4 linked regions of the Elephas maximus indicus genome follow. The protein of the gene in region 3 purifies or fractionates together with the protein of the main gene of each other region. This does not show direct contact. Links are inferred from orthologs where the notes say so. Each region holds a gene or a part of one and is shown on either strand. Other genes may lie near its edges. The genes, in order: EDC4, LSM14B, DDX6 and DCP1B.

What was found.
Region 1: the proteins of DDX6 (region 3) and EDC4 purify together in Homo sapiens (affinity purification with mass spectrometry; 4 studies listed by BioGRID and IntAct, counting the BioPlex papers as one, with this or other methods). This does not show direct contact. The link is inferred for Elephas maximus indicus from reciprocal best matches to the Homo sapiens genes DDX6 and EDC4.
Region 2: the proteins of DDX6 (region 3) and LSM14B purify together in Homo sapiens (affinity purification with mass spectrometry; 4 studies listed by BioGRID and IntAct, counting the BioPlex papers as one, with this or other methods). This does not show direct contact. The link is inferred for Elephas maximus indicus from reciprocal best matches to the Homo sapiens genes DDX6 and LSM14B.
Region 4: the proteins of DDX6 (region 3) and DCP1B purify together in Homo sapiens (affinity purification with mass spectrometry; 6 studies listed by BioGRID and IntAct, counting the BioPlex papers as one, with this or other methods). This does not show direct contact. The link is inferred for Elephas maximus indicus from reciprocal best matches to the Homo sapiens genes DDX6 and DCP1B.

What each region holds. Positions count from the first base shown.
Region 1 is NC_064839.1:34,302,231-34,309,649, reverse strand, and holds the start of EDC4 (enhancer of mRNA-decapping protein 4), read right to left. Parts: upstream 3,012-7,419; 5' UTR 2,831-3,011; coding exon 2,749-2,830; intron 157-2,748; coding exon 1-156. Other genes in the region: NUTF2 (nuclear transport factor 2), read right to left, coding at 5,142-5,255, 6,935-7,033, 7,122-7,193. UniProt on the Homo sapiens protein: In the process of mRNA degradation, seems to play a role in mRNA decapping. Component of a complex containing DCP2 and DCP1A which functions in decapping of ARE-containing mRNAs. Promotes complex formation between DCP1A and DCP2.
Region 2 is NC_064843.1:5,804,872-5,812,280, forward strand, and holds the start of LSM14B (protein LSM14 homolog B), read right to left. Parts: upstream 3,019-7,409; 5' UTR 2,987-3,018; coding exon 2,644-2,986; intron 511-2,643; coding exon 347-510; intron 1-346. Other genes in the region: uncharacterized protein LOC126067817, read right to left, coding at 3,049-3,561, 4,234-4,344. UniProt on the Homo sapiens protein: mRNA-binding protein essential for female fertility, oocyte meiotic maturation and the assembly of MARDO (mitochondria-associated ribonucleoprotein domain), a membraneless compartment that stores maternal mRNAs in oocytes.
Region 3 is NC_064835.1:11,249,143-11,256,098, reverse strand, and holds the start of DDX6 (probable ATP-dependent RNA helicase DDX6), read left to right. Parts: upstream 1-3,942; 5' UTR 3,943-4,022; intron 4,023-4,140; exon of another isoform or gene 4,141-4,262; intron 4,263-6,956.
Region 4 is NC_064822.1:56,680,490-56,688,226, forward strand, and holds the start of DCP1B (mRNA-decapping enzyme 1B), read left to right. Parts: upstream 1-4,721; 5' UTR 4,722-4,728; coding exon 4,729-4,878; intron 4,879-7,737. UniProt on the Homo sapiens protein: May play a role in the degradation of mRNAs, both in normal mRNA turnover and in nonsense-mediated mRNA decay. May remove the 7-methyl guanine cap structure from mRNA molecules, yielding a 5'-phosphorylated mRNA fragment and 7m-GDP.

The sequences.
Region 1 (7,419 bases), on a different chromosome or scaffold from region 3:
TGACCTGCTTCTCCTGCAGGTTAATGGGTGGCATGGCTCGGAGACCAGGCTTGCCTGTCGAGGTACCATCACCTGAGCTGAGTGGGTCTGGAACCAGGAGCCCGTTGAGATCCCCATTGTAGGTGTTAGATGGCCGCTGGCTCTCTGCACTGGAGCCTGGGAGTAGACAGGGCCACCCTGATGAGGTTATCAGACCTGCCCACTAGCCTCTCCTCCTTCAGAGCTTCCTTCCAGAACTGTGAGGTGTTCTCAGAATGCTTGACTGAGAGAGGCATGTCCATGGGGAGGAGAGTGACTGTGGGCCCTTTGCTCATCCCTTGTTCCACAACCCAACGTGTGCCAGGACCAAGGATGAACATGAGGCTATTCTACCTTGGGGAGGGCCCTCCGATGCCAGTTAACACTCAGGCCTGGGTCAGCACAGGGGGGTAGGGTGGGGTAGAGTGGGAGGAGGAGGGGACTCTGTTCACATGAGGGAGGGCATGGGAAGGGCCAGGAAAGACTTCATAGAAGAGATGCCATCACAGCCAGCGTGGCCAGAACACACAAACATGGGAGGGAAGGGGGAGGACAAGGCTGCACAAGCTCTAGGTATGATACTGGGGTGCTTAGATTTTCTCTGTGGGCAACAAGAGCTACAGAAGAGTTTTATACTGAACGATGACAGCTCTGGTCAGCAGGCTGATTGATGGCTCTAAGGCAGCATACAAGATGGCTGAGACTCTGGGTGAAAGATACCAGGGCCTGAACCAAGGGAGGAGCCCTGGTGGCACAGTGATTAAAGCATTAGGCTGCTAACTGAGGGGTCAGCAGTTCAAACCCACCAGCAGCTCTACAAGAGAAAGATGTGGCAGTCTATTTCTGTAAAGATTTACAGCCTTGGAAACCCTATGGGACAGTTCAACTCTGTCCTATAGGATCACTATGAGTTGGAATCAACTTGACCGCAGTGGGTTTGGTTTTTTGGAACCAAAGCAGTGGCAGGGGTTGGAGTGGAGACACTGATAAGATATGGAAGTGAGAAAGGAGGGAGCCTGACCCGCACAGAAATGGTTTAGAAGATGTCACCTTGGGCAGGTAGATTAAGCAGGAATGGACACTGAGGGGCTAGACAAAGAGGAGGGAATCTATGGGGTGGGTTATAGAGTCAGGAAAAACAACATTTCAATTGTTTGCCATTGGCTGGGCCGTAAGTACCCTCATAGGCTCAGGCACCACTCCCAAAACTCCTAGGGGGCACAAAGACTAGGGCCTCACGGCCAGGAACACAGTAAGTTTCTAGTCACAAAACAGTCCAGTGTCTGACATGGTGCTCTAGTGAAAGGGGACAAACAAGAGCTACTTGGCAAACAGGGAAGTCAAGTGTCAATCAACAAACAAAGGAGTTATGAGGAAAGCCTTCAGGCCACTGCACTTGAAGCAAAGTCCCCTTAGCTGCTAAGGGGTAAGCTGACAACTCTCCCTTCCAGGTCAGCTACCATGAGGACAAACAGCAGGCCCAGGCTTCACAAAGTTGGCCATGACAGGTTCTACCAAACTGTTCTTAGTCTGTACAGCAGCTGAGGAGCCAGTCCTGCAGGCAGCCTGAGAGTCCAAGCCAAACTCATGAGTAAAAGAGCACATACTCCAGGACTGGGGCAAGGGGCCAGGGGTCTCAGGCAGCAGATAAATTTGCTCAGGGAGTGGAGGTGACTAAATCCACCCAAAGTGAGCACCAGTGCCTCTTCCCAGAAGCATCCAGTGTGGGCCTCCCAGCAGGCATACAAACAGGATCTGAGAAAACAATTCTCATCTTCGGCCACAGTACGCCCTCACCACCAGCCAGTCCTTTAACAACGATGACTTTTCCTGAACCTACCAGGAAACTTTGGTGCCTTGACTGTGTCCATTTCCTCTTCATGGAATGCCTATCCCAACATCCAAGCTCCTATTCATATTACAAGATGGAATCTAAACATCGTTTCCTCTCTCAGACCTCTTCTCAGGCAAAGGCAGCCTGAACTCTCCAACTCCACCCTCCCAAAACAGTAGCAGAACACTTCTCTATCTCCATGATAACAGCATTATTTTACAACCTTGTTAACTCTTCTGTGTCCTGGGGGCTCCTTGAGTACAGGTAGGGGAGGTGGGCAGCTCTGAGGTATCGCTGCAAACCCAACTGAAGTTTGAACGAATGGAAACAAATTAGGGTTTGCAGACGTTTGTGGCCTAATCTAATCTGAGCTGTGCGTTCTGTGATTTGCCTTCACCCAAGAAAGAGCACAGAACCAGTGCCGGCCACCTCCCTCCTGGAAATTAGTTTCAGAACAACAGCAAGCCTGGAGTTCTCATTCCAGAGGAAGGGAGAGTCGAAGAGGAGAGCGGCTCCTCAGCACAACACCTAGGTCCAAACCTGGGACTTGGCATACAGAACCCGGATCAGGCCTTTGCACCATGGCGAAGGGGTAGGGGCTTCAGACCAGTCACAGGAACACCCGCGGAGGCACCCACAGGTTCAGGGAAAAGGCCTCACCTTCAGCCTTGGCGCTGAAGGACGAGGCAGCACAGCCCGATGCCGGTATGGGGAGGGGCCGCACGCGGGGTCTGCGCCCTTCGCGGTACAAGCTCAAGGGTCTACGGTGCCGACCCGGATCAGCCTCCACTGGCCGGGAGGATCTAGAACCGGTCCTGAGGGCCTTGAGAGAGGTTCGGGCCCGCACCGCCCTTCTGCCCGCCCACCGAGGGCCCACCTCCGTTGTCCCCGCTCACCCCCTGCGGGCCGGTCCAGCTTGAGAATGTCCCGCAGGTGCTGCGTGGCGTCCTCGATATCGATGCTCGCGCAGGAGGCCATAGGCCCTGCCACGGGCGCTGCGCCCGCGCTGGTTCCTTCCCCGGCCTCCACGCACCGCCCCACGGCGTCAGGGTCAGACGACGGGACACCGGTCACTATACTCAGTCCACGCAGCCCGCAAACCGCCGCCCGCTCCGCGTCCCTGAGCCCCGCCAACCCCCGTAACCGCCTCCACTTCCGGCCCTCCGAGTCTCGGCTCCCGGAACCTGCGCGGACCGGAGAAGAAAGGTTCCGGCCTGGGGGCGCACGCCTCGTTCCTCCCCGAAGCCTGTAACCCGCGGTGTCCACGGAGTCCCGTGGAGTTCCGCAGGATTGATGCCGAGCGTCTCCACACACTGCGCAGCTCAAAGTCATAGGCGCTTCAGGTCCCGCCCGGTCTATCCCCACTCCCAGGGCGCAAACTTCCTGATAGGCCCAGTATGGGGTCAACTCACTTTCCTTTGAGGAAATGGGTCAGTGTAAACCTAGGCTTGAGGGGGACCCGCGAGGTTCTAAGGCCCGGGAATAGCAACGGCAGGGGAGATGGCCCCACCATAATGACCACAGTTAATTGTCCTCTACTGCCCCAGCATCACCTTGCCCCAACCAGCACTCTCAGGCAGGAAGAAAGAAACCATCATTTACAAACACCTCTTTATTGCAGACATTTCAGGCACAGGTACATGGAAGCTATATTGCAGATTTTATACAGGGTGGTTTAAGAGGCAGCAGGCATCCACCTCTCCCCAACCCTACCCCCCAATACACAGCAGCCTAGAAACCAGTCCCTCTGAAATCTCCTGAGTTTGCTGTCTTCTCAAACAGCAGACCATCCAGCCCTGTGCCCAGTGTAGCCAGGCGACCTACGGGGGTCTGAGGAAGTCTGTCCTCCACCCACAGAGTTGGTGGTGGTGTCTGTTTACAGGTTAGGCATAGCTGTGGTGGCCTCGCCAATCCTAAGACCCCCTAGCTGGGGCATCATCCCAAGTCCTCAGGTTGGTTCTAGCCTGCAGTTGCCATCTTGCCATCAGGTTTACACCACCCAGTGGTCTCAGGGCTGAGGAACTAGATTTACACTGGGCAAGGCCTCTGTTCTCAAAACTGAGGAGTAGAAAAGGCCCCAACAGCTAAGACTTCCTGGGACTTGAAGACAGTGTGAAAGTGCACATGTGTAGTGAGGGAGGGAATAGTAGGGAGGGCTGAAGATATCCTGTAGAAGTTTGAGGGGTGAGAACTCCAGGAGTATGAAACCCTCAAAATCAGCCTCAGATTGCCTTCTTCCACAGCTCCAAATGATACTCCAGCTCAACTGGGCTTAGTTCTGTGGTCATCGGAGGCTGGCTGTTCTGGCCACCCACCTTTGGGCAATGATATACAAAGCAGGTAGTAGTACAGAATCTGACTTGCCCTCTGCTGGCTTAGGGCACCCTGGCTGTGATCCTGACCCTTCTGGGGATATGGGTATGAGAGCAGGTCCCCTTTAATCCCACAAATCTCTGCTCATCCTTGATCTTCACCAAGACCTCAGCCCAGAAGACCCGGACCTGATGGGGTTTTTACCAAGCTCTCTCCAGCTTCAAGGGGATTCAGGGTCCACATTCTTCCTAGAGAGGCTGGCAGTCATAATCAGAGACATCTCTCCTGCTACTAGAGTTGTAAACCTACCCAGGGCAGAGGTCACCAGGTGTCAGAACAGACCTGAGCCCTCCCCTGTCTGCAGCTCACTTCCCCAAGGCAAGGCAGGGGGGAAGAGAACACGTGCCCTACAGGCCTTCCAAGAGAAGCTAGCCGAGAATACAGCTTCAGCAGTATTCTGCTTGCAACAACAGGTATTGCGGAGTTAGGGCACAGGTGGGAGGGTGAGAAATGAGAGACAATGGGGCAGAGTAGTTTTTGATGCTCAGCCAACTGTTAAACTAATTAAAACAATTTAAACTGTTAAGAAAATTTTCGTGGTTTTATTGTATAATGAGGCATTGAAACATCTGAACAAATCAATATCTGGGCGGTGAGGCAGCTGCTTTCTCCTTCACTTCTTTGGGTTACTAGAGCAACTTGTCAGTAGATTTAAAAAACAAAACAAAAGACAACCTTTTGCATTACTTAGTCTTTCCAAGGCATGCGCTGGTACAACACAAACTTCTCCTGTCAGATGCAACTAGTCTAGTGTCCAAACATCATGCACAACACCTCGGTGGCAGTAGCGCACCGCGCCCACTCCCACTGTGGCCCTGCTCGTTTGTATATGATATTTGGAGCATCTGGCAGAGTGTGAATAGTATCGGGAAGAGGAGGGAGGAGGAAACAGCATGAGTGCCTGGCTGGGAGGAGGTCAGCCAAAGTTGTGCAGAGCAAGCCTGAACATGTCATTGGTGCAAACCCAAGCATCATTGATGTTCTTCAATAGGAACATCTGGTGAAAGCCCATGATGGGGTCTTCGTCGGCCTGTGAAGAAAGAGAAAATGGTTCAATAAGGGGACTGAACGATAGCAGGGGGGTTCAGTGATAGAACAGGGCAAAGAATGTTGACTTTGGGATCAGGCCCTACTGTACTGGATTCAAATTCCAGTAGCTGAAGAGTACTCATGAATATGAACTGATTAAAAACATGAAATGTTGTACTGGGCAACAGCAGGGGCCAGTAGATGGCCGCTCACACTGTGATGCATTTCAAGTGCAGATGAATTCATCAGTTAGCTACAGCAACACAGCAGACAACACACCTGCCTCTGAGCCCGTCTCTGGGCACAAGTGATGACAATTTTGAAAGAATCCCAGAGTGCTCACCACATTGACATACAGTATCACAGCCTGTAAAGTAAGTGTCTGAGAATGTCAGTCAGTCCAGCCCAGAGAAACTACCATTAACACTGTGGCCAAGAAAAAAGTATGTGAGAAGACATTAAAAACTGAGTTCACAATGTGATCATAGCTCTACAGGGAAAAAAAACAAAACAACCATTGGGTAATCTGTTTCTTGTCATGTAATATTGACATTTATAATGAAAGAGGAAAGTCAAACTGCAGAAAACCAGGGTGAGACCTAGTTGAGGTAGGAGTCCAGGAGCCCAGCTAACCAGCCTGGTGTCTAACATCACCTGTTTTTTGGGGAATTATCAGCAGGAAGAAGGCAAATCAATCTTTCGGGTGTTCTGAGTTGAAGAACCTAAAACCAGGTGGGAGGGGCCACTGTTTACGAACCCCAGCCAGGGTTCAGTGGGCACTGAGCTCCCTGGAGAGGCCTCCTCTACCCCCAGGGCCAATTCGGGCAGGGCATCCTGGCCAGGCAAGAGAAACTGATAGAAACCAGGTCCCTCTGGGTCCACTGCAGAGGCCTAGGGGCCCCTCCACCCCTGTACGGGACCCAGAAAGCTGCCCCTCCCCACTCACCCAGCACAGCCTAGGGAGAAGGCATGTGGGTCTATTATTCTTAGCCCATCGTAACACAAAGGCCCAGAGGGTTGGGACCTGCCAAGGGGCAGTCAATTTGTCCTGCTTTGGGAAAAAGGAGGAGCTTTTTGGAAACTGAGACTATGACCTTGATCTGCTGGGGCACAACAGGTAGGAGTTCTGGGAGAGCCTCTGGGGGCTGAAGAGCCACAGGAAGGCTTTGAGGATCACAGGTCCTGAGAAGGGTAGGGCAATGCAGAGAGAAGCAGGAGGGAGTTCCAGGACTCTGCTGTACCCAGCAGGCAGAAGACCCAGAATCCAGCCTGGAGAGTGGCAGCATAAACTCCACTAGGGGACTGCAGGCCCAACCACACCTCATGGCACCATGGCTCTGTCTTGCCCTCAGTCCTCCAGCTCTTCCTGTCTCTTTTCCAGAAAGGCTCTAGACAAGTGCTCTCTAACAGAACTTTCTGTGCATTGTCTAATAGGTAGCCACTAGCCACAGTGACTACTGAGCACTTGCGATATGGCTAGTGCACCTGAAGAACAGAATTTTTAATTTATTTTTAATGAACGCAATTTAAATGTTGCCACGTGCGGCCAGTGGCTATTGCATTGAATTATGTAGCTCTGGACGGTCACTTTGTCCGGGTGCCACATCCACAAGGAAGGCAGGGGGCTCAGGGCTCTTTCCTGCCAGGAACCCCTCCGTAGCACTGCAGTAGTGCTTTTACCTTGAGCTGGCCCACAACCATGCTGATGATGCAGCTATCTGGCGTGGGCTGATGGTCCTGCGCCGTGATGCTGTGCTGGATTTTCTGGAACGGAAGGCTCTGCGAGACAAAGAATAGGCAAGGGGCTCAGAGAGGGTAGCAGGGGCAGGGAAGTGGCTGCCTGCACCTGGCCCTGACCATTACTTACAGACAACTTCTCCACAATGGCAGCTTTCCCCTGGAACTGCTGTCCTTCCCATGTAAGGCATGACGCGTCAATCTGAAAAACGCACCAGAAACCCCAGGTCAAAGCACAAGAAGTAGGGCCGTGACCGCAGCTCTGAAAGGGTCTTGCTGGGGAAAGTGAATCCATACTTCATTTTCCCTGTCTGTAAAGAGGGGTTATGGGTAGCTTCCAAACTTTATATTATCGACAATTTCCTTAATGACACCCATTGCCCATGGGCCCAGTTAGAGACTGTTTAACAAAGTACACTTGCTAGGTA
Region 2 (7,409 bases), on a different chromosome or scaffold from region 3:
ACACACGTGGACAGAAGTATAGACCAACAAAGTCAAAGAGAAACACACACACGAGTCTCCTTCCCTGGGGCCCAGCTGACAGCACACTCCACACACACATATAGAAAGACACACACAGGCCGCCTTTCCCGGGGCCCCGCTAACAGCACAGCCACCTCCTGAAAGCTGCCTGGATCCAGGTCTTCCACAGGAACGTCAACAGCCTTGACCAAATCCATCCCCTTTCCTCTTCATTGAAAGGTTACCCCTTGGGTTGAGTATTCCAGCCAGACAGATGACAACCAGTTTCACTTGGGCACCAGCACACATCAGAAGCCATGCCACAGCAGCTCAGTGACACGTTTACCTGTACAATGGCAGGATCCTGAGGAAGCGTGTGCTGAGCTTTTGGAGGTTCGCACACGGTGATGTCTTTGATGTCACTTCCACGGAAAATGATGTACTCGTAAATCTCCTCTCTCGGGGGGGCAGGCCTATCTGTGGGGCGGTCTTCAGTACCAAAAGACCTCACTTGAGAGATAAGAAGAGCCAAGTATAAGACTGTCATCCATAGCCAAGCACACCAATCACCTCTCTAGCACAACAGCTCCACACCTTCCGAAGACAGAAGAGGACCCAGCAGGCCCCTTCCCCTGAGCACGTCCACATGCAGCACCCGGATCTTATGCTGCAGCACTGACTTGGCACTCTGACTTTCAGCGAACGATACCTACAGAATTAAGCCACCTGACAGAGCCCACAAGGAACAATCTCATGCTGACAGTTCCATGACATGCCAGCTCCCTAACGCAAACGCACCTACGTGCAGGACTCCCAACTAGTCCTAAGTTAAACAGCTGACAGCTGGCTTAGCCTGAAACCTCCCCAGGGAACAATGCTCTTCAGGAGAGAAGCCAGTGAGCTGTGCCATCCCCCTTCCTTCTTCCCACCATCAGCCTTGAACAGCTGTTTCGGTAGTGAAAATACTGGCGGAGGAGAGAACCCAGAACCTGAGTGGTCACTCTCTCCTAAGCTGCAGAACCGGAGGCACTGCCCTGATAGGCAGGGCTCAGGGGTCCCATCTTTGCTTCACAGGAACTCAGGCGCATATCGAGGCTTGAGGGCAGCCTCCCTAGACTACAAGCACAACTCCTGCTGAGTACTGGGGGGCAGGGGCTCAGCTTCTCTAACAGACAGCTTCTATCAGGTGCAGCACCAGGAGAAAAAGGAGCCTTCTACGCTGAAACATTCCCGTTCCCGCAGTAGCAGTGCAGTCTCCACTCCGGGAAGCATGACTATGTCCAGAAGGCCTGGGGCTCCCTCTGTGGCAGCAGCCTCAGCACACCTCCCGGCAGAGATCCTGACCCACCACAGTGGCCCTGACCTGGCACAAAAAGGGCTGGTTTCTGCAGACCTAGGTCCACAAGGGCTGTTTTCCAAACGGCAGGAGTACCTGCCCATCTTCTGTAGAGTGTGGACCACCTTCTGCCTCAGCAAGCTCAGAAAACATCCTGGACTGATGTAGAACCCCAAGTCTAAGTCTAGCCGAGCCTACCCAAGTTTGTCACCAAGGGGTAAGCCTCAGCATCTGGGAGAGGATAGGAAAACTGAGCTGCTGCCATTAAGAAGTGGTATTTGTTCCAGCTCAAGACCCCAGATGCTTAATGGGTTCCAGAAAGGCCTGAGAATTCATGTTCTCTCCCCCCTCAGCCTGTGAAGGTCCCTAAGCCTGTGAAGGCCTCTGGGACACTCCTGGCCCCTTGCACCGCCTCTCGCCTCCCCCGCCCGAGTTCCCTTTCTTGGCCCAGCTGTCCCCTCCCGTCCCAAGGGCAGGTGAGGAGCAGGCTAGACTTCAGACAGCCCCCCAGGGTCTATGCGGGACGCGCCCTGCCTCCACTCCGCCCCGGCGCACAATGACGCTGCTGTGGGGCCGTAGGGCCGAGGCGAGACTATTGTGTGGCTTGGGTGCGCTCGGGGCACTCTCCAACAGGGGCGGGGGGGGGGCCGTCGCGGGGGTAAAGGTGACAGACATTCTTGGGGAGAAAAAAGTGTGGAGGGGAGCATCGTGGGGGAGGAGGAATCCTGGGGGGGAAAGGGGCGTCGTGGTGGCGAGAAAGTAGGGGCATACCCAGGGGAGGAAAGGTCGCAAGGATTTGTCCGGGGGGGGGGGCGTTTGGGCTAGGACAGAGCCCGAGGGGCGTCATGGGTGTGGGGATGTCGCAAAGGGAGGCGTCGTGGGGGAGGGAAGAGCGCGGGAGGCGTCATGAGAGTGCTCTGCGGGAGAGAAGGGAGTTCTCTGGGGGCGAAAAGGAGGGTAAGCATCCTTGGGGGAGGGGAGGTCGGGGGCTGCGTCCTGGGGGAGGGCGTCGCGCAAGGAGCATCGCGGGGGGCGCACTAGCGGAAGAAAGGGTGCGAGGAGGAGTTCTCTGGGGGCGGGAAGGGCGGAGAGCATCCTCGAGGGGAGGTCTGGGGGGGCGTCCTGGGGGAGAGTGGAGCATGAGGGTCGTCGAGGGGGACGCTCTGGAGGAGGGGAGGGTCCCCCGGGGTAGGGCAGGCGGCGGACGTGAGGTGGTCTGGGCACGGGTCCGGGCAGTCGCACCGGTGGGAGAGCCACCCAGAGGCGGGGGCCGGGCTCGGGCGGTTGGGCCGGCTCCGCGGGCGTACCTTTGGCGAGCGCCACGGTGGAGTTGTCCGTATCGATGGTGTAGAGGATGCCCTCGTAGCGAATCTGCGCCTTGGAAATGAGACTGATCTTGCTGCCCAGGTACGGGGTGCCCGAGGAGCCGCTCATGGCGGCAGCCGGCCGCGGGGCTGGGGCGAGGCGCCGGGCCGCGGCCTGCTCCGCCGCCGCCTCACGCTCGCCTCGCCGCCCGCTCCTCCGCGCCTCGGCCCGCCGCCGCGCCGCCTGCTCGCTGCCGCCCAAGAGCCCTGCGCGGGGACCAGGCGGGCCAAGAAGGGCGCCGCCGGGCTCTGAGGGGCGCGGGAAGAAGGGGCGCAGCAGCCACATCCGGGTCCCCGCGGAGCGCTCCGCCCCCGCACCTCCCATTGGCCCGCCGCGCCGGCCTCCCTTTAAAGATGGCCGCACCGCCAGCCCGGGGGCGGGCCCGCGCCCTGCGCCTGCGTAGGGCGACGTCCCCGCCCCCCGCCCCCCGCCCCTCCTGTTCCCGGCGGGCCCTGCGAAAAGCGGGGAGCACGAGACTGCGCGCGCCGTGGAAGGGGTTGGAATCCAGCGCGGCAGCGCGCGTGTTCGGACGGGGTGTTCGTGTGCAGACCGCGGGGTGGGGCCAGCCTCAGTTTCTCCGTCTGCGTTATCCGGGTCCGCACAGCCTCTCCGTGGCATGGGTTCGAGGGTGGTAGGGCGGCCGTGCGCCCCGCGGCCGTCGACCGGGTGCGCTTCCCCGTTCCACGTCCCGCGGTCCGAGATCGGCGCGCGGCGTCCGGGGGGCTCCCGATGGGCCCGGAGGGAAGCAGGGGGAGGGCCCGCTCCTCGCGCGGCCCCGCGCCCAGGCCGTGCAGTCTCTCAGGGAGGACAACAGTAAAGCGCAGTGGCACCGGCATCCAGCACTTCCGGCGGGTCAGCCCCTAAATATAACGCGCTGAGACACTCCTTAACCCCGGATCTCCTCCCAGACCTGCGGCGCCTGGTGGCTGGCAGGGCCCCAGGCCCCACCTGTCCTGGCCCTGCCCGCTCGCCCCTGCGCCCTACCCCGCTGGCAAGGAGGCTGGAGCCCCGGAGGGCAATAATGTAGTACGGTCCCCAACCCCGTTTATTTCGCTACGCCCCTCAAGCGGCACCTCGCACAATAAGCAGTTAATACGCATGTGCGGCTGTTTATCTCTCCTTGACCCGTGCTGGCTCCTGAAAATTAAGTGGGTGGTGACCTGCGTTGTATGTAAGTAAAACTGGAAACATTAGAAAGCGCGCTACATAGGGACTGAGGAGACGTATTATTTATGAAGTGCTTATCTCACGTGTACACATGTACGTGTGTACTTGATCAGAGCTGAAAGCCGTGATCAGAACAATTCACCTGCCATGTGAGACACGGAATTTTGACTACCCCATTTTACAGCGGAGGAGGTGCGTTCAGGGCAGGTCTGGAGGGGTCCGAGCCAGGCTCTCTGCCAAGCACCGCCCCAGAGCAACCAGACCCCTGCAACATCCAGCCAGAGAACAGTAGTTTGACGAAGAGAGCTCAGGGGAAGCAGACAAGAAGCTGGAAAAGTCTTCCAGGTGTGTCTGCCAGGACTTACCTGCACACCCTGGAATTCCTTGCCTCCTGGGAAACAGCACCAACAAGGAGCACAAGCAGTGAAGCTGCAGTTAGACCAGCCCAGTAAGAGAAGTGCTGGGGATCGGCTCATCTGCCCCTAGGAGGAAGATCCAGGCTCTCATCCTGTCCTCCGACTTACTGAGGTGCACCTGTCTGCACTAGGCGCTGACGGGGGTCTCCTGGGCACCTCACATCAGCTGGCCTGGTGATCCCACTGTTCTGCCGAGGTTGAGAGCTAACTGTTACAGACCTCTTTACCCCACAGAGCAGGGCACCTATCCTCTACCTTATACCTCCTGGTTTTTGAGCCACAAGCCTGTTTGTGTTAGGGGTGGGGCTGCGTTCTCAGGGCACATGAGCTGATGCCCTCTTAGAAAGAGGAACTGCATCCCAAGCCTGTGGAGTCCAGGTAATGGGCCTCAGGGCCAGGGCAAGAGGCAGCTCCAGAGACCTCCCAAATGCTGCCAGGCTTCTGGTAGTGCAGCAGGGTGGGTCCCTGAAGACAAGCGGCAGTGCGAGTGCCTGGGCGGGGCAAAGGCCTAAAAATACACGTGGTGTCCAGGCCCAAGAATGCAGGAGTCTTGCCCGAAGTGGGAGCAGGAGCGTGCCCTCGACCTGATCTAGGAGGGCATTGGTGCAGATTGTTTTCCAGACTGGGCCACACCCCACCTGGCACCTCCACCCTAAAAGCCCTGTAACAGCACGCAAGCTTTAGTCCAGAGAGCAGAGCTTCTGGGAGGCCCTGGACAGGTCAGACCCTCTGCTGCAGTTTCCCCGTCTGCCCTGTTCATCTCGTTGGTGGATGTGAGGACCCTAGCAGCTGCTAATGCTTGTGAAGGGCTTTGTGGACGGCCAGGGGCCCGCTCATGGCAGATAGGGTGGGTGGTGGACAAAGAGGCAGCTGGGAGGTTTCCACTGCAGCCAGAGCCACTGATGAAGCTCCCGTGGTGAGTACGCAGGAGAGCAGTGTGGTCTCCAGGGAGACAGGTGTGAGCACCTGGAGGAGGGAGCCCACCTGGTTGTCCCCACACACTAGCTGAGGTCCTCCAGGTACGTGAGGCGGATTGCCACAGAACCATTTTGTGGCTCTACTGTGTCCGCAAGAAAGAATGGCCAGTACAGCTGCTGATTTCAGGGACTAGAAGGCTCTGGGTGGCACAAGCGGCTGAGTGCTGGTCTCCTTGCTGAGAGGTTGGTTGATTCAAACTCACCCAGAGGCACCTCCGAAGAAAAGCTTGGCAATCTGCTTCCGAAAGGTCACAACCTTCAAAACCCTATGGAGCACAGTTTTATTCTGCACATGTGGGGTCACCATGAAATGGACTCCACTCGATGGCAGCTGGTTAGTTTTTTACCAGGGCTTCCAACTAGTTCATTCTGGTTTGAACCCCTGCTGATAACTTGCATTTCCATCTCAGATACACTGCATCAGAACCTGTGGTTTAACAAGATCCCCAGGTGATTCTCACATGTAAATTTTGAGAACCCCTGCTTTACTAGTGGTTCTCAGAATTGGTCCCTAACCAGCAGCATTAGCATCGCCTGAGAACTTGCTGGGTACAAACTCTCAGCAAGGGTTTGAGGCCGATGGAACTGGTTCAAAGCCCTGGTTTTTACTGTGTTTCTAGCAGGATCTCAAACCAGTTCATTCAGATTTGAACTCCTGCTGGAGATTTGCATTTCTAGCAAGTTCTAATAAGCTAATGCTGTGGTTTAGGGACCTGTGGTAGAGTGAATTACTTAATATGGCCCTTCTAGTTTTTTTTTTTTTTTTTGCCATAGTCTTTGTAATGCCCATCAAATAACTGGGTGTGGGGGGGAGGAGGGAGAGTGGGAGAGGGTTATTTACTGATTAGTAGATAAGAACTACTTTAGGTGAAGGGAAGGACAATACTCAATACACGGAAGGTCAGCTCAACTGGACTGGACCAAAAGCAAAGAAGTTTCCGGGATAAACTGAATGTTGCAAAGGTCAGAGGAGCAAGGGCAGGGGTTTGGGGACTATGGCTTAAGGGGACTTCTAAGTCAATTGGCAAAATAATTCTATTATGAAAACATTCTGCATCCCGCTTTGAAATGTGGCATCTGGGGTCTTAAATGCTAGCAAGCAGCCATCTAAGATGCATCAATGGGTCTCAACCCACCTGGATCAAAGGAGAATGAAGAACACCAAGGTCACACGATAACTAAGAGCCCAAGAGACAGAAAGGGCCACATGAACCAGAGACTTACATCATCCTGAGACCAGAAGAACTAGATGGTGCCCGGCCACAACCAATGACTGCCCTGACAGGGAGCACAATAGACAACCCCTGAGGGAGCAGGAGAACAGTGGGATGCAGACCCCAAATTCTCATAAAAAGACCAGACTTAATGGTCTGACTGAGACTAGAGGAATCCTGGCGGTCATGGTGCCCAAACCTTCTGTTGGCCCAGGACAGGAACCATTCCCGAAGACAACTCACCAGACATGGAAGGGACTGGACAGTGGGTAGGAGAGAGAAGCTGATGAAGAGTGAGCTACTTGTATCAGGTGGACACTTGAGACTGTGTTGGCATCTCCTGTCTGCAGGGGAGAGAGGAGGGTAGAGAGGGTTAGAAACTGGTGAAATTGTCACGAAAGGAGAAACTGTAAGGGCTGACTCATTAGAGGGAGAATAAGTGGGAGCATGGAGTAAGGTGTATATGAGCTTATATGTGACAGACTGACTTGATTTGTAAACGTTCACTTAAAGCTCAATAAAAATTGTTATAAAAAAAACCCAAAAATCTAAAATAAATAAAATAAAATAACTGGGTGAAACTTTGCAAATGAGGTGCTTGTGGTCCACTAAGGAGATTGGATAGCTTGCTAATAATGGTACCCTCGTGGGGTGGAACCATGCAAATATGGTATGTAGAGCCCTAAAGAGGCAATGGGTCAGTTTCGTCACCCCGGTAAGCTTAAAAGGAGACATGAGGGGGCAGGGGAGAGGAGACATGGAAGTCAGAGGTAGCAGAGGCAGCAGAACCAGGACAGAGAGGGAAAGCTGTTAACTCTGAAGATGGCGAGAAGTAGTGGCACAGAAATGAAGGCAGTAGCAGAACCAGTAGACCTGCAGGAGACGGCACACTGGGCCTCCTGGCCCAGGGAGTGAGAAAGCTGAGTTCCTTCGG
Region 3 (6,956 bases):
CAAAGTGTTAAAAAGCAAAGATGTCCCCCTGATGACTAAGGTGCACCTGACCCAAGCCATGGTATTTTCACTTGCCTCACATGCATGTGAAAGCTAGACAATGAATAAGGAAGATGAAAAAAGAATTGATGCATTTGAATTATGCTGTTGGGGAAGAATATTGAATATACCATAAACTACCAGAAGAACAAACAAATCTGTCTTGGAAGAAGTATAGCCAGAAAGTTCTTTAGGAGCAAAGATGGTGAGACTTTGTCCCATATGCTTTGGACATGTTATCAGGAAGGACCAGTCCCTGGAGAAAGATATCATGCTTGATAAATCAGAGGGTCAGCGAAAAAGAGGAAGACCATCAATGACGTGAACTGAGACAGTGGCTGCAACAATAAGCTCAGACATAGCAATGATTGTGAGGATGGCACAGGACAAGTCAGTGTTTCATTCTGTTGTACATATGGTCGCTATGAATCGGAACTGACTCAGCCGCACCTAACAACAACAATCTTTATGGAAGCAGACTGCCACATCTTTGCCCTGCAGAGCAGCTAGTAGGTTTGAACTGCCGACCTTTCAATTAGCAGCTGAGCACTTTAACCTCTGCACCACCAGGGCTTCTTCATTTTATAAATACTAAAGTAAAAATATTTCCACTCCTAACTTATTGACATGGTCAGGTTCCAAAGACCAGGTCATTATGGGAAAATTAGCCTTATGCAAAAATGGATGATAACCACATCAGATCACAAAATATTTTGTGGGACACATATGTCCCTCCAGACCCAAGAGGCGGAAAATGTAGGTGAGCACTATCTGTACCATTGGACAAGAAAGGGTTACTGCCAGACGTACGTCATTAATTCACAAAATAGACGGGTAGATTTTTTACTGTTGTCGTAAATGCAATGTATCAGATAATGAGAGAGTTGTTAACTGAGGAGTAGGCGTACGTTGTATAAAGTATAATTATACGTATGCCCACCCACTGCCCTCGAATCGATTCCAACTCATAGCGACCCTATACGTATACTTACAGTCTATACAAAGTATAAATACTTTAAGAAAACAATACGGTTGCTATGAGTCGGAATCGACTCGATAGCAATGGGTTTGGGTTTATGTACGTTAGCAAATAATTTGTATTCCTAAGGTATCATTTCCTATGATTCTTGTTAATCTGACCTAGGGATAAAAAAGGTATTGAGATAGTTGGATCTAGCAACCATAAAATTGAGTCCAGAAGAAAAGATACAAGGATTCAAAATTAATTCTTTACCATCCACGCTATTTCACCAGAAGACTAGAAAGAGCTGATCTGGGGAGTCCCTGGGTGGTGCAAAGTTAAAGCGCTCAGCTACTAACCCAAAGGTTGAAGGCTTGAGTTCATCCAGAGAAGCACCTTGGAAAAAAGGCCTGGTGATCCTTTGAAAAATCAGTCATGGAAAACCCTATGGAGCACAGTTCTACCTGTCGCACGTGAGGCTGCCGTGAGTCAGAGCAGACTCAATGGCAACTGGTTTGAGGGCATGGTGGTTCAGTGGTAGAATCCACAGAATTCTCACCTTCCGTGCAGGAGACCTGGGTTCAGTTCCCAGCCAATGTATCTCATGGGCCCCCCGTCAGTGGAGGCTTGTGTGCTATGACGCTGAACGGGTTTCAGCCAAGCTTCCCAACTGAACGACTAGGAAGAAAGGCATTGCAATCCACTTCCGAAAATCAGCCAATGAAAACCCTATGGAGCACAAGGGATGACACAGGAATGGGCAGCATTTCGTTCTGTCGTGCAGAGTCGCTATGAATGGGGGCCCACTCAAGGGCAGCAGACAATAACAGTGGTACTAGGCTATTTTATAAAAACATTAAGCAGAGTCTTTAAAGCTTTTAGCCCTGGAAGGGGAGCTGCTTCATACTCCACTTTGGTTGCCTCTTCTCTTTTCCTCTTTTTGTCATGACTTCAATCAGCCCCCTTTGGAAGGTAACAGTTTATTTGTGGTTGCAAACCGCTTTCCTTTGCCTGATCCCATTTCTTGAGTGGCCTACGGAGATCCCACCAGGAAGTGACCTCCTGCCCTTCACATTCCTACTAATCCTGGGAAAGATAATGAGGCAAACAAGTTCTCCCACGTTATCATTTTAAGAAACTACTTAGCTATTCTCTTCTAGGATAGGCACAAGGTGCAAGGTTATTCCCTTACATAAGTGGGTGTTTTAAAATCTGTGTGAGAAATGACATGCTACAAATTTAGAATTTAAAAAATTGGAAGGGGAACCTTTTTCAGGAATAACCTTCTACACTTCTTCGTTTCCATTGGCTGTGTGGAAATAAAGACCAACAAATGAGAACAAACGGGCTGTTCATCCAGAGCTTGCTATATATAGCAAGGCAATCAACCATCATCTCTTGATTTGGTAGAGACTCAAAGGCAGGCAGGGGAGTAAGGAAGCTTTATAGTGAGAACAAGGTTAAGGTTCAGGTAGACTCTGAAGGTTGTTGGTTTAGGGAAGCTAGAGGCGGGCTAACTACAAGCGGGGGGCATCTTATGTGATTGGTTTGGGGAGCATATTTGGCTTTCTCTGATTGGTTCCGAGTTGGAAGCGGGCGAAAAACAGGGAAGCTGGCGGTCATTGACCGAATGCTGACCGTTCTGGGCCGATTGCTGCAGAGGTTGTGGCTTGGCTTCCTGAGCCTTGTTGCAGAGGTTGTGGGTCAGAGTTCTGTCGTATATGGTCTGGCCACTGTCCCCTTGTATATTCAGTCTCTTAGCTGGGTGAGACCCAGGTTTTTATTTTCTCTTGACCTAGTTAGCTCTCTAGCTCCAAATTTTTGTTTTACCTAAGATGAGACTGCATTCTTGTTATTTCTGTTAAGGATAAATGGAGACATCAGGGTCGTGTATAGGAAAAGTAATTCTGGGAACAAATACATTACTTGTCTTTGTAGCGAGGGTCAGGCACGAGAAAAAAGCATTCGCCGCCTTCTGGTTCCTCATTTCCTCACAGAACTACTTCCATTTAACTGACTCATCAGAAGCTTTCGCGCTTCTCTGGGAGAGCTCTGGCCTCCTCCGCTCCCTCTTCCCTGGAGGGCTGACGATTAGAGCCGACAACGCAGGATCGCTGCCCCTGTCCACGGCCCGCGCCCTCCGCGCCGTCTCCGGGACCCGGTAGCCCAGCCTCCCACTTCAAGGCTCGCTCCCCGGCCCCGCCGCCGTCCGCGCCCGGGCAGCGGCCACCTCGCGCTCTCCGGGGTCGGTCCCGGCCCCTCACCCCTCAGCAGCGCCTTCTCGGTCCCTTTCCGGCCCCCACCCCAGGCGCGCGCCGGCGCCTCCGGGACTCCCGCTCCGCGCGTTCCTGGATGGAGGCGCCCCCGGAGGGGCTCGGGCGCGGCTCCTTGGGTCCAGCAGCAGGCTCCCAGACCATGGGAGAAGTCAGGCCAGCTATCCGGTCCCGGAGCCACTGTCCGAACAGGCCGTTCTCGGAACGTGTCTTTGGTCAGGAATAAGCAGATCCTCGTCTGGTCGCAGCCCCCGATTTTCACTTTTGAGAACCCAATAAAACCCACTGCCGTCGAGTCGATTCCGACTCATAAGAGGCAAAGGGAGAGTGGACTCTTCCCACCCTTTATTACCCAGACATCTCCTCAGCTGAGGAAAAAGTACCCCTCCTTTCTCCTCAGAAAGGAAACTATTTCCCCTTCAACTTCTCTCCACCTGGACACCCGCTGGTCCCCCAGTCAGTGTGGGAGAACAGTCCTCCGTTTTTTTCTCAGGGGGGCTCCCCGGGTCGCCTTTCTCCTGCCGCGAAGCAGGAGAGGCCTTGACCCCGCCGTGGGCGCAGCGACGGCTGCCTGAGCTCTCGCCATCTTGAGTGGAGGAGGAGCCGCGGCCGCCGCCATGCGGAGAGACAGGGAAAGAGGGCGGGAGGCGGCGGCGGCGGCGGGCGGGAGAGGGAGGGGGCAGGGGAGCCGAGTTAGCTCAGCCCGGGCGGCGACTTCGGCGGCTCCGTGGGAGCGGGCAGCGGCAGAGGTAGGGCTGGACTGGCCCGGGGAGCCGGGCCGACGCGGGATGCTCAGTAGAGCGGCCCCAGGAGCGGGGCGGGGGCAGGAAGAGGCAGAAGCGAGGGGGCCGGGCGGGGGTGGGCGGAGGTTTCCGAAGAGGAAGGAGCCGCCGCCATTTTGGGAGCTTCGAGTCAACAATAAAGGACTGAGGGTGCCGAGCGGGAGTGGCCTCGGTGGTAGGACGCGGGCTCGAGCCGCGGGGAGCGGGGTGAGGTGGTGGGGTCGAGGTCTGACGGGCCACTGGGGCTGCGGAAAGCTTTGAGCCCGGCGTGGGGGGCGCTCCGAGGCTGAGGCCTAAGGCCTGGTCCGGCCCTGGGGAGGAAGGCGGGCAGCTGCCAGCAGCTGTGTGGGACGGGGGCGCCTGAGAGGAGCAGAAATAGGAATGTCGTGCGCGGTGGGGTCCAGATACAGAGCGGCCGAAGTACTCGGAGGAGATGTGCAGTGGATGATGAATATGGAACTGGAGGGAGCGGCAAGGACTAGGGGGGTGGTGGAGGTTATAGGGTACGCGGCGGCCCTATAGGGGGCGGCATGGAAATGCCGGATTTAAGGGCCCTGTTAAAAAGAGGGCCAGCAGTTGCTTGATTGGGATGGGGCTTTTAGATCCATAACAAGAGTGTGTTTGTGGAGCCCCCGAGTCGTGGAGGAAATGAGGGCCTTTCTGAGTTAGGGGTATCACTTTGAGGCCTTATGGAGGGAGTCTCTATTGTTTCCAACCTTCGGAGCTGGTTCCTGGCTCATGTTGCGCAGATACGATTGCAGGGCCCCAACCCTTTTGTGTATATGGCCAGAGGAAGCTGACTTGAAGTGTGTAAGGGACTGAGGATGCGGAGAACGTAGATCAGAAATTATTGCCTCACAAAACGGGGCTCGTATCATTGGCTTGCCTCTTTCATTTCCCTCTCATTCCCTTTTCTCTTCCACGGTCTCCTTTTCCCCTCAGAATAAAACTCACTACAACTTGCAGATCTAGCATACCGAAACTGCGCTGCGTTTGCAAACAAAAGCTCTCGTTGGAGATGACAATGATATTTTGGGTGTGAAAGTGTCAGTTGCTAACTACAACCTGAAAAGTGCTGTAGTTAACTCCACTAGCGGCTCCTCCCAACTAGTTTACGTTTCCTTCGTATTTTTGAAAACGTAGAAATACAATTTGCAACACTAAATTGGGAAGGGCCAGAGGAATATTTTCTTCTCTGCAGTGCAGATTTCAGTTCAATTAAGAGGGGAGCAGTTACCACATAGTCACATTTTGGATCTGGAGAGAACAGAGGTCCTGTTGTTTATAATGGGTAGTAGTAATATCATTTAATCTTTAGGGGTTGCCCTCTTCATCCTCTTAGTGTCTTGCAGACAAATGAGTCTCCCGGTGTGAACTCGGTGATATTGTTCATCATGATAATATAAACCTCCCAAATCAGGAAACCATTTACTACCTTGAAACTGAAATTAGGTGGCTGTTAGCCATGGTCCGCTTGAGTGGTCAGACAGATACAGGGAAACGTAGAAATATAAAGCTCTGTGTATGAGATAATTAGGATTGGCTTGTGAGCAACCTGATTGTCAATTAAAAAAGGAAGACAAAGGAGCATTTTATAATTTCAAATTTGAAAACCCATGATGTATGGCAAAAATAATAAGTCCTGATTAATAAGTTAGTGTATATTTGGTAAGAAATGTAAAGGAGTTAAAAAAAAAAACAACAGCAGGCCTTTGTTTTCTGGGCTTTGTAATTAAGTTTTTATTTACTAAGTTTTTAAATGCAGTCATGTGCCGCATAAGGTCCATTCAGGCAGTGTTGGACCACGTATCCGTCTGTGGTCCCAGAAGGTTATAATAGAGTTAAGAAATCTCGATTGGAGAACCGGACATAGGGAACAGCTTCGTGGTGGCTGTTCAGTCAATATAGGTAACACTACAGCATCCCATATGGCTTTGCTAAGTACAATCAGTCCCTGGGTTGCGGACGCCCAACCTAGGAACTTCTGCTTAACGTACTTAACGTACAACCTGTAGTTTTGAACCTACCCTGTAAAGCCTATTAAAAATTCGAGGTAGACACAATGGTTCACAATAACAAATGGGTGCTACTTTGCCTTGCGCATCAAAACAACCCATTGCCGTCAAGTTGATTCCTACTTTATCATGTTAAAGACGTTTCAGTGTATCTGGGAGTTTTTTTTAAATGTTTTTCATGCATAGAAACGTACACTATATACATACTAAGACAAGCATTCGACTAACTGACGTTAGAAATGAACCGTACCTGTTATGACTTAACATACAAATTCGACTTAGACATAGGAACAGAACTCATTTGTACTCTGGGGACTGCCTGTATATAATACGGTGTTCACACAACATCCAAATCACGTAGTATTCTATTTCACAGAACATATTGTAAACCTTAAGCAACCCATGGCTGTAATTCGATTTTGGGAACAGAAGTTGAAAGTAGTGAAATTTGACTAGTTCTTTTTTAAAACAAATAATTAGTACTCTGGGTTTCTTGGAAGGGTTTGTTAAAGTCACTACTGTGCTTAGCTGTTCACAGATTTACTCCTTTTACACAGGAAATTTTTTTGTGTATTTTTTTAAATCTATTTTTGAACAACAGGACTATTTTAAATTAGGGCATAGTTTTGGGAAAAAATGTTATATTAAAATGTAGCTAATAGTTTTTTAGTATTCAGATTTTATTAAAGTAGTTAAAGATTTTCTTGGCTGTTTTTCAAAGATGCAATTTTGACATGCAGACAGGTCTGTGTCCCGTGATTTCTTCAGTCACTATTTTAAGGGGCAAAAGCTTAAGGGAAAGAGGAACGTACATTTTTCTTTGGAAAGTTCAGTTTCTGTAGTTGAAGTTCATAAGGGCACACAGTGTTTTTTCTGAAAGTGTAAG
Region 4 (7,737 bases), on a different chromosome or scaffold from region 3:
TCTGGAATTCCCATTCTTCGTAATGTTATCCATAATCTGTTGTAATCCACACAGTGGAATGCCTTTGCATAGTCAACAAAACACAGGTAAGCATCTTTCTGGTATTTTTTCAGCCAAGATCCATTTGACATCACCAATGATATCCCTTGTTCCATGTCATCTTCTGAATTTGGTTTGAATTTCTGGCAATTCCCTGTCAATATACTGCTGCAGCTGCATTTGAATGATCTTCTGCAAATTTTTACTTGCATATGATATCAATATTGTTCGATAATTTTTAAAATAGTTTTTATTGTGCTTTAAGTGAAAGTTTACAAATCAAGTCAGCCTCTCACACAAAAACTTACATACACCTTGCTACATACTCCCAATTACTCTCCCCTTAATGATACAGTCTGCTCTCTCCCTCCACTCTCTCTTTTCGTGTCCATTTCACCAGCTTCTAACCCCCTCTACCCTCTTATCTCCCCTCCAGGCAGGAGATGCCAACATAGTCTCAAGTGTCCACCTGATCCAAGAGGCTCACTCCTCATCAGCTTGTTCAATAATTTTTGCATTCAGTTGGGTCACCTTTATTTGGAATAAACATAAACATGGATCTCACCCCTTCAGTTGGCCAGGTAGCTGTCTTCCAAAGTTCTTGACATAGATGAATGAGCACTTCCATTACTGAATCCATTCGTTGAAACATCTCAATTGGTATTCCTCCAATTCCTGGTGCCTTGTTTTTCACCAGTGCCTTCAGTGCAGTTTGGACCTCTTCCTTCAGTACCATAGGTTCCTGGTCATATGCTACTTCCTGAAATGATTAAATATAGACCAATTCTTTTTGGTATAATGACTCTATGTATTCCTTCCATCTTGTTTTGATGCTTCCTGTGTCATTTAATATTTTTCCTGTAGAATCCTTCAATATTGAAACTTGAGGCTTGAATTTTTCTTCAGTTCTGTCAGCTTGAGAAATGCTGAGCGTGTTCTTCTCTTTTGGTTTTCTAACTTCAGGTCTTTGCACATGTCATTATAATACTTTGTCTTCTCGAGCCACCCTTAGAAATCCTCTGTTCAGCTCTTTTACTTCAACATGTCTTCATTTCCCTTGAGCTACTCAACATTCAAGAGCAAGTTTCAGAGTCTCTTCTGATATCCATTTTGGTCTTTTCTTCCTTTCCTGTCTTTTTAATGACCTCTTTCGTCTTCACATATGATGTCCTTAATTTCATTCCACAACTTGTCTGGTCTTCGGTCATTAGTGTTCAATATGTCAAATCTATTCTTAAGATAGTCTCTAAATTCAGGTGGCATATACTCAAGGTCGTACTTTGGCTCTCATGGACTTGTTCTAATTTTTTTCAGCTTCAACTTGAACTTGCATATGAGCAGTTGATGGTGTATTGCACAGTCAGACCCCGGTCTTGTTCTGACTGATGATCTCTTTCCACAGATGTAGTTGATTTGATTCCTGTGTATTCCATCAAGAGAGGTCCATGTGTATAGTCACTGTTTATGTTGTTGAAAAAAGGTATTTGCAATGAAGAAGTCATTGGTCTTGCAAAATTCTATTATGTGATCTCCGGCATCATTTCTATTACCAAGGCCATATTTTTCAACTACTGATCCTTCTTCTTAGTTTCTGACTTTTGCATTCCAATCACCAGCAATTATCAATGCATTCTGATTGCATGTTCGATCAATTTCAGACTGCAGACATTGGTAAAAATCTTCAATTTCTTTACCTTTTGCCTCAGTGGTTGGTGGGTAAATTTGAATAATAGTCGTATTAACTGGTCTTCATTGTAGATGTGTGGATTTTATCCCATCACTGACAGCATTGTTGTACTTTAGGACAGATCTTGAAATGTCCTTTTTGATGATGAATGCAACACCATTCCTCTTCAAGTAGTCATTTCCATCACAGTAGACTATATGATTGGCCAATTCAATATGGCCAATACCAGTCCATTTCAGCTCACTAATGCCTAGGATACCGATGTTTACATGTTCCATTTCATTTTTGACCATTTTCAATTTTCCTAGATTCATACATTCTACCTTCTGATTACTAATGGATATTTATGTCTTTTCCCCAACTTCAGGTGGTTTCACATATCAGTCAGATCTTTCCCCAAGCCTCCGGCATCAGTAGGACTCAGAATTCAAAATGGAGCTTAACCAAAAATTTAATAAACTTAAAATTCTGAATGTGATGATTATATTGCAATTTATTTAGGCAACTGTTTTGAGAAGCCACATGTTCCATATTCTATGATATTTCTGTATCAAATATAGTAAGAGTTAATAAGTGTGAATAAGGATCTCTGCGCAGTTGTTCTGATCTAACATTCAGTGCTGAATAAATGGTTTAGATCAGTGGTTCTCAATTTTTTAGTCTCAAGACCACTTTACAGTCTTAAAGATTATTGAGGACACCTTCCCAAAGAGCTTTGGTTTATGTTGTTGTTAGGTGCCGTGGAGTCAATTCTGACTCACAGCGGCCCTAGGTACAACAGAGTGAAACACTGCCTGGCCTTGAGCAGCCTCACAATTATTGCTATGCTTGAGCCCATCCTTGTAGCCACTGTGACAATCCATTTCTTTGAGGGTTTTCCTCTCTTTCCCTGACCCTCTACTTTACCAAGCATGATGTCTTTCTCCAGGGACTGGTCCCTCCTGATAACATGTCCAAAGTACGTGAGACAAAGTCTTGCCATCCTTGCTTCTAAGGAGCATTTTACCTGCACTTTTTCTAATACAGATTTGTCCATTCTTCTGGCAGTTCACAGTATGTGTACTCAATCTCTTTCACCAACACCTTAATTCAAAGACAGCAATTCTTTTTTTGGTTTGTTTACGTAGGTTATATTTATCTATATTACCATATTAGAAAATAAAGATAAGAACTTTAAAAATATCCTTTCATTCATTTTAAAATAACAATAATAAAGCTATTAAACGTAAATATAAAAAACCCATTTTTTTGAAAATAATAATTTTTTTAAAGAAAAAATTAATGAGAATGTGGCGTTATTTTACAGTTTGCAAATCTCTTTAATGGCTGGCTTAATAGAAGACAACTGGGTTCTTATATCTGCTTCTGCTTGTATTATTTTGCTACATGTTGTTTTGGTTGAAGTATCATATCTTATGCAAATAACACACATCTTACACGTTTTTGCCAATCGTGCAATCCCCATGTGCATTATTTCCCTAGGCGTGCTATACATGTTATACGTATGGGTGCATTGTTTTCAAAACTATGGTAGATGAAGAAACTCTGGTCTCACCCAGATATGTAGTTGGAAAAGAGATGGGTATTTTAATAGTCTTTTCAGTTAACTGTGGATATTCTTTGATAATGCATCAAAACTTGACCAACCAGTGGTTTCTCAAAAGATAGTTATAATGTGTTACCTGAAACCTGTCCATTAACTTTTCATACTCTGCTATGTTAAAATCCATTAGTCTACCTTGTCCTTTAATGGATATTTTACCTATGCATGATGACATAACATCATACATTGATACATTGGTCATTTGTAAAATATTTGTTCACAGAGTTAAGCATATCTTTCAAATGGTCACACATTTTGTTATATTAAAAATAGCCATAGTTTGTCTGTCTTTTAAGTAAAAATAGTGTTAATGGGAAAAAAAATGGCTAGTTTAGCTTGCAACTCAAAGAAGCACAGAAGTGCTTTTCCTGGAGACAATTACAGTGAAACCTGTGAGAGCTGGAAGTCCAAGAGATTATCTTGTTTTTCTGGGTCTTACAACTTTTCCTCCTTTGACAGGGTGCAGTCTTAACACTTTTCTATCGCTATTAGTGGAAAATATTTTAGTTTTTCTTCCTTGAGAGGTTCCCACCTTACACAGGTTCTGGCTTTGTCAGGTTTTACTGTATACTTTGGTATGCAGAAGTTCTTTATGCATACTTCCCATTTTTTTTTACTCAGAATATTAAGAAGAAGCATACTCAAGGGTTGCGCTTTAATAAAATTATTTTTTTTTACTCTCAAGAACAATTTAAAGTCGCATTAGCTTTTTCCTTCATCTTTTCTGCAAATGTATGGCAGTGAAGAAAACGTTGATTACTAGTACAGTCTGGTGTTCTTGTCTTGATTTTTATGTTAAGGCACCCACACTTTAACCCACGGTTGCCTTTGTAAATGTCAACACAGTGAAAAAGTCAAATAACGTCTTAGCGTTGTTTTCACCTTGCAGAACCCCTGAAAGAGTCACTCTCAGGAACCCTCCTAAGAGTTCCATAGACCACAATCTGAGAAGCACTGGAAGTTGGCGTACGCAGAAATCACAGTTCTCTTTCCCTTCTGAGTTACTCATGCTTGAGGATTATATATGATTATAGGTTTTATTACTGAAGCGCCAAGGGAAGGAAATGCCAAGGCGTCGAACACATTCAAGAGGTGAATTCTACCGCGTCTACGGCTCAAAATCTCAAGTTGGAAGAAAATCGCTTTAAGGAGAGGAAAAATAGGGATTCAGAGGGCAGGCTTTGCCTTGACGTTTCCAGTGGAACGATCTTCAGGGGGAAAGGAACGCTGTCATCGATTAGTAATGTCTTCCCTCCGCGGGCGGGAGGAATGGCTGAAGAAGGAAGGCCTCCCCAAGCTGCAGTCGGGATTTTTCGGGTTGCGAGGCAGCTCGCTCGTTCTGTGATCTATTGAGAGTGGCTTCCGAGAGCCCGGTGTTGATGTCGGGGAGGGAGGAAAGATGGCGGCGGTGGCGGCGGGCGGCTTGGTGGGGAAGGGGCTCGATATCAGCTTAGCGGCTCTGCAGCGCCACGACCCCTATATCAACCGCATCGTGGACGTGGCCAGCCAGGTGGCTCTGTACACTTTCGGCCATCGGGCCAACGAGTGGGTGCGTGCTGACGCGACGGGGCCGTGCAGACCCGGGCTGGGGGGGAACCGGGGGTTGTCAGACTCGGGGCTTGAGAACCCAGTGACGGGGAGGAGGCGCTGCGCCCGTGGGTGGCGGCGGATCGGGGACCTGAGGGCAAGTTGTGGAATTCTGGAGCCGTGGGCCCGGGGGCTTGGGGGAAGGGCTGGCCGATATGCGAAACCACCTGAAGTTGGGGAAAAGGCGGAAATATCTAGGATACCCCATGTTGGGAGACCGGACCGATCGGGTACGGGACCCTGAGAGCTGAAGGAAAGAAAGGACCTGGTGCCTTGAGACCAGAAGACTGATGAACTCCGAGAAAAATAAAGCAGAATTATGTGAAGTAAAAGTGGCTAGAGAAGGCAGGGACAGGGGACGAATAAAGAGGAAAGTTCTGTTCTGGAACATCAGTCTTAGATGGGCCGAAGTGAAATCAAACCTTGATAGAGGGGAGAAATCTGAAGTCGTAAACTCAGGTAAAAAAAAAAAAAAAAAAACACTAAAAAAAGAGCGAACGTCGGGAAATAAAAGACAGAGGGGTTGGGTCTAACACTAAAAAGGAAGCTAATGTGCTTGGAAAGATTATTAAACCACAGTCCACCGAACCAAGATGAGTGTGCTATTTGAGTCCATTTGGGAGCCGAATTATTTTTATGTTCTTCTGAAAGCAGAGCCCCAATAAATAATAATGGAACGAAATTTAATTTCCTCACAATTGGTATGGGATGGGAGCTTAAGACGCTCAAGGTGTCTTGCTGAAGAATTGCTGCATTTATTTTTGTAACCCACCCACTTGAATGTAGAGAGATGTATTTTTTTTCTCTCTTCCTCACAGTGGTTTTTGTCCCAAATAATAGCCACCCATCCATTATATAACTACCCACCAATTACTTTCAATAAATTACAAAACAGTATAGAGAACTGAGCCTGGATGAATGGATCTCAGATGAATATTTTTTATATCAGTATTCTCCAAGTCATTAACACCAAAATTTAAGGATGGAAATATCCATATTGAACAAATCTGTATTTTTTAACACCCACAAACATTGGTTTATATAGCCTACTTCTCTCAATATAGATCTTTAGGTGCCTGTAATAAAACTTATTTTGTTTTAATTTAAAAGAATTAACACAAAAATAAAAAGACAAGTCCTAAACTGGGAGAAGAAAATATATTTGCCCAAAGTTCTTAATTAAAGAAGTGTACTGAAATTGGTTAAAGAGTTTAGCTCTGCTTTATTAGTAGCTAAACCAAAAGGGAAACCATGGAGAGTTCTTTAATATTCATTGTTCTATGATAGGTAGTATATCACTTGATCAGGTGAGAGGTTATTTCTCCCTGGCTTTCAGAGGGATTTGTCTCCTGGATCTTTATATAAAAGACATTGAGTAACAGTGGACAATCTCCTCAATGGCAATTAAAAAATACAAAGATATTCTGCATATGGCTATTATCCTGCTCTATTGAAAATGCCAAAGGTATAATGTCATAATTCTGTAAAGGAATTTCTGTAGTTAAGGATCATAGTTCTGTAAGCCAATTTGATGCTAGAATAGAGTGGAGAATGCTGAGAAACTGGTACACAATAAAGAAGAGGATTCCTCTTGAATTACAGTTCTTTCCTATAAGCTTGTGACAGGATCCATGCAATAGTTACCTGTTAAAATAGTTACAGAGGCTTATTAGACACCCAGTGAAGCCCATCTACTAAAGCCTCATCAAAAGGCAGAAGTGTCACAAAGCATTATTTACAGGAGTTATGTTTTCCTTCTTCCTGACTTGTTGCCTTCAGACAGGGCATAATTCATTCAGCAAAAGGTCATTCTTTCAACAAAGTATTAATCTTCAAGGCTGTGATAGCCAGAAAAAAAGATACCTAGTTCTGCTGCAGAATAGGTGCTGGGAGCAAACAAAAATTGTCACCGCTGTCTCCATATGCCATCACTTGAGGTCTCTGGATGGAGCCTTTTGAACATAAGACTAATAAAAGTATAAAGAACATTTCTTGAGAATGAAGAAGAGAGTATTTGTAGGAAGGTAGGTAAATGTAAAAAGAGTAATTCATATTACACTGAAAATAAATGAAGACTGACTTCAGGCCTTTAGAGGAGGAGGAATTAGGAATGGAGGGTAGACCGAATGAGCTGCTTTGCAGAAGGATTAAGAAAGGTTATGTCATGAGTAGAATAGGAATTTTAGAGCTAGGCCTGCTCCTTATTGCCAGGAAAGACTCCAGAAAAAAAAAAAAAGGCATAGTGGTTAAGAGCTATGCTGCTAATCAAAAGGCTGGCAGTTTGAATCCACCAGGCACTCCTTGGAAATTATGGGGCAATTCTATTCTATACTATAGGGTCACTATGAGTCGGAATCAACTCGACGGCAATGTGTTTGGTTTTTGGTTTGGTGTGTCAGTAAAAAAATATGACACTTGTATTATTTTCACGAGAGCCCCTGGTGGTGTAGTGGTTAAGTGCTCTGCAGCTAACCAAAAGGTTTGCTGCTCAAACCTACCAGCCACCATGCAGGAAAGGATTGGTGATCTGTTCCTGCAAAGATTACAGCCTGGGAAACCCTGTAGGGCAGTTCTACTCTGTCCTGTAGAGTTGCTATGAGTGAAAATCAACTCCACGGTAACAGATTTAATTATTTCACCTCTCAGTCTTTAAAGCAGTGGTTTTCAACTGGAGTTGCCCTTGAGGGGACATATGGCAATGTCCAGAGACATTTGTGGTTGTCACGATTGGGGGGATGGATGTTACTGGCATCGAGAGGATAGAAGCCAGGGATGGTACCAAGCATCCTTCAGTGCACAGGACAGGCCCCGCAACAAAGAT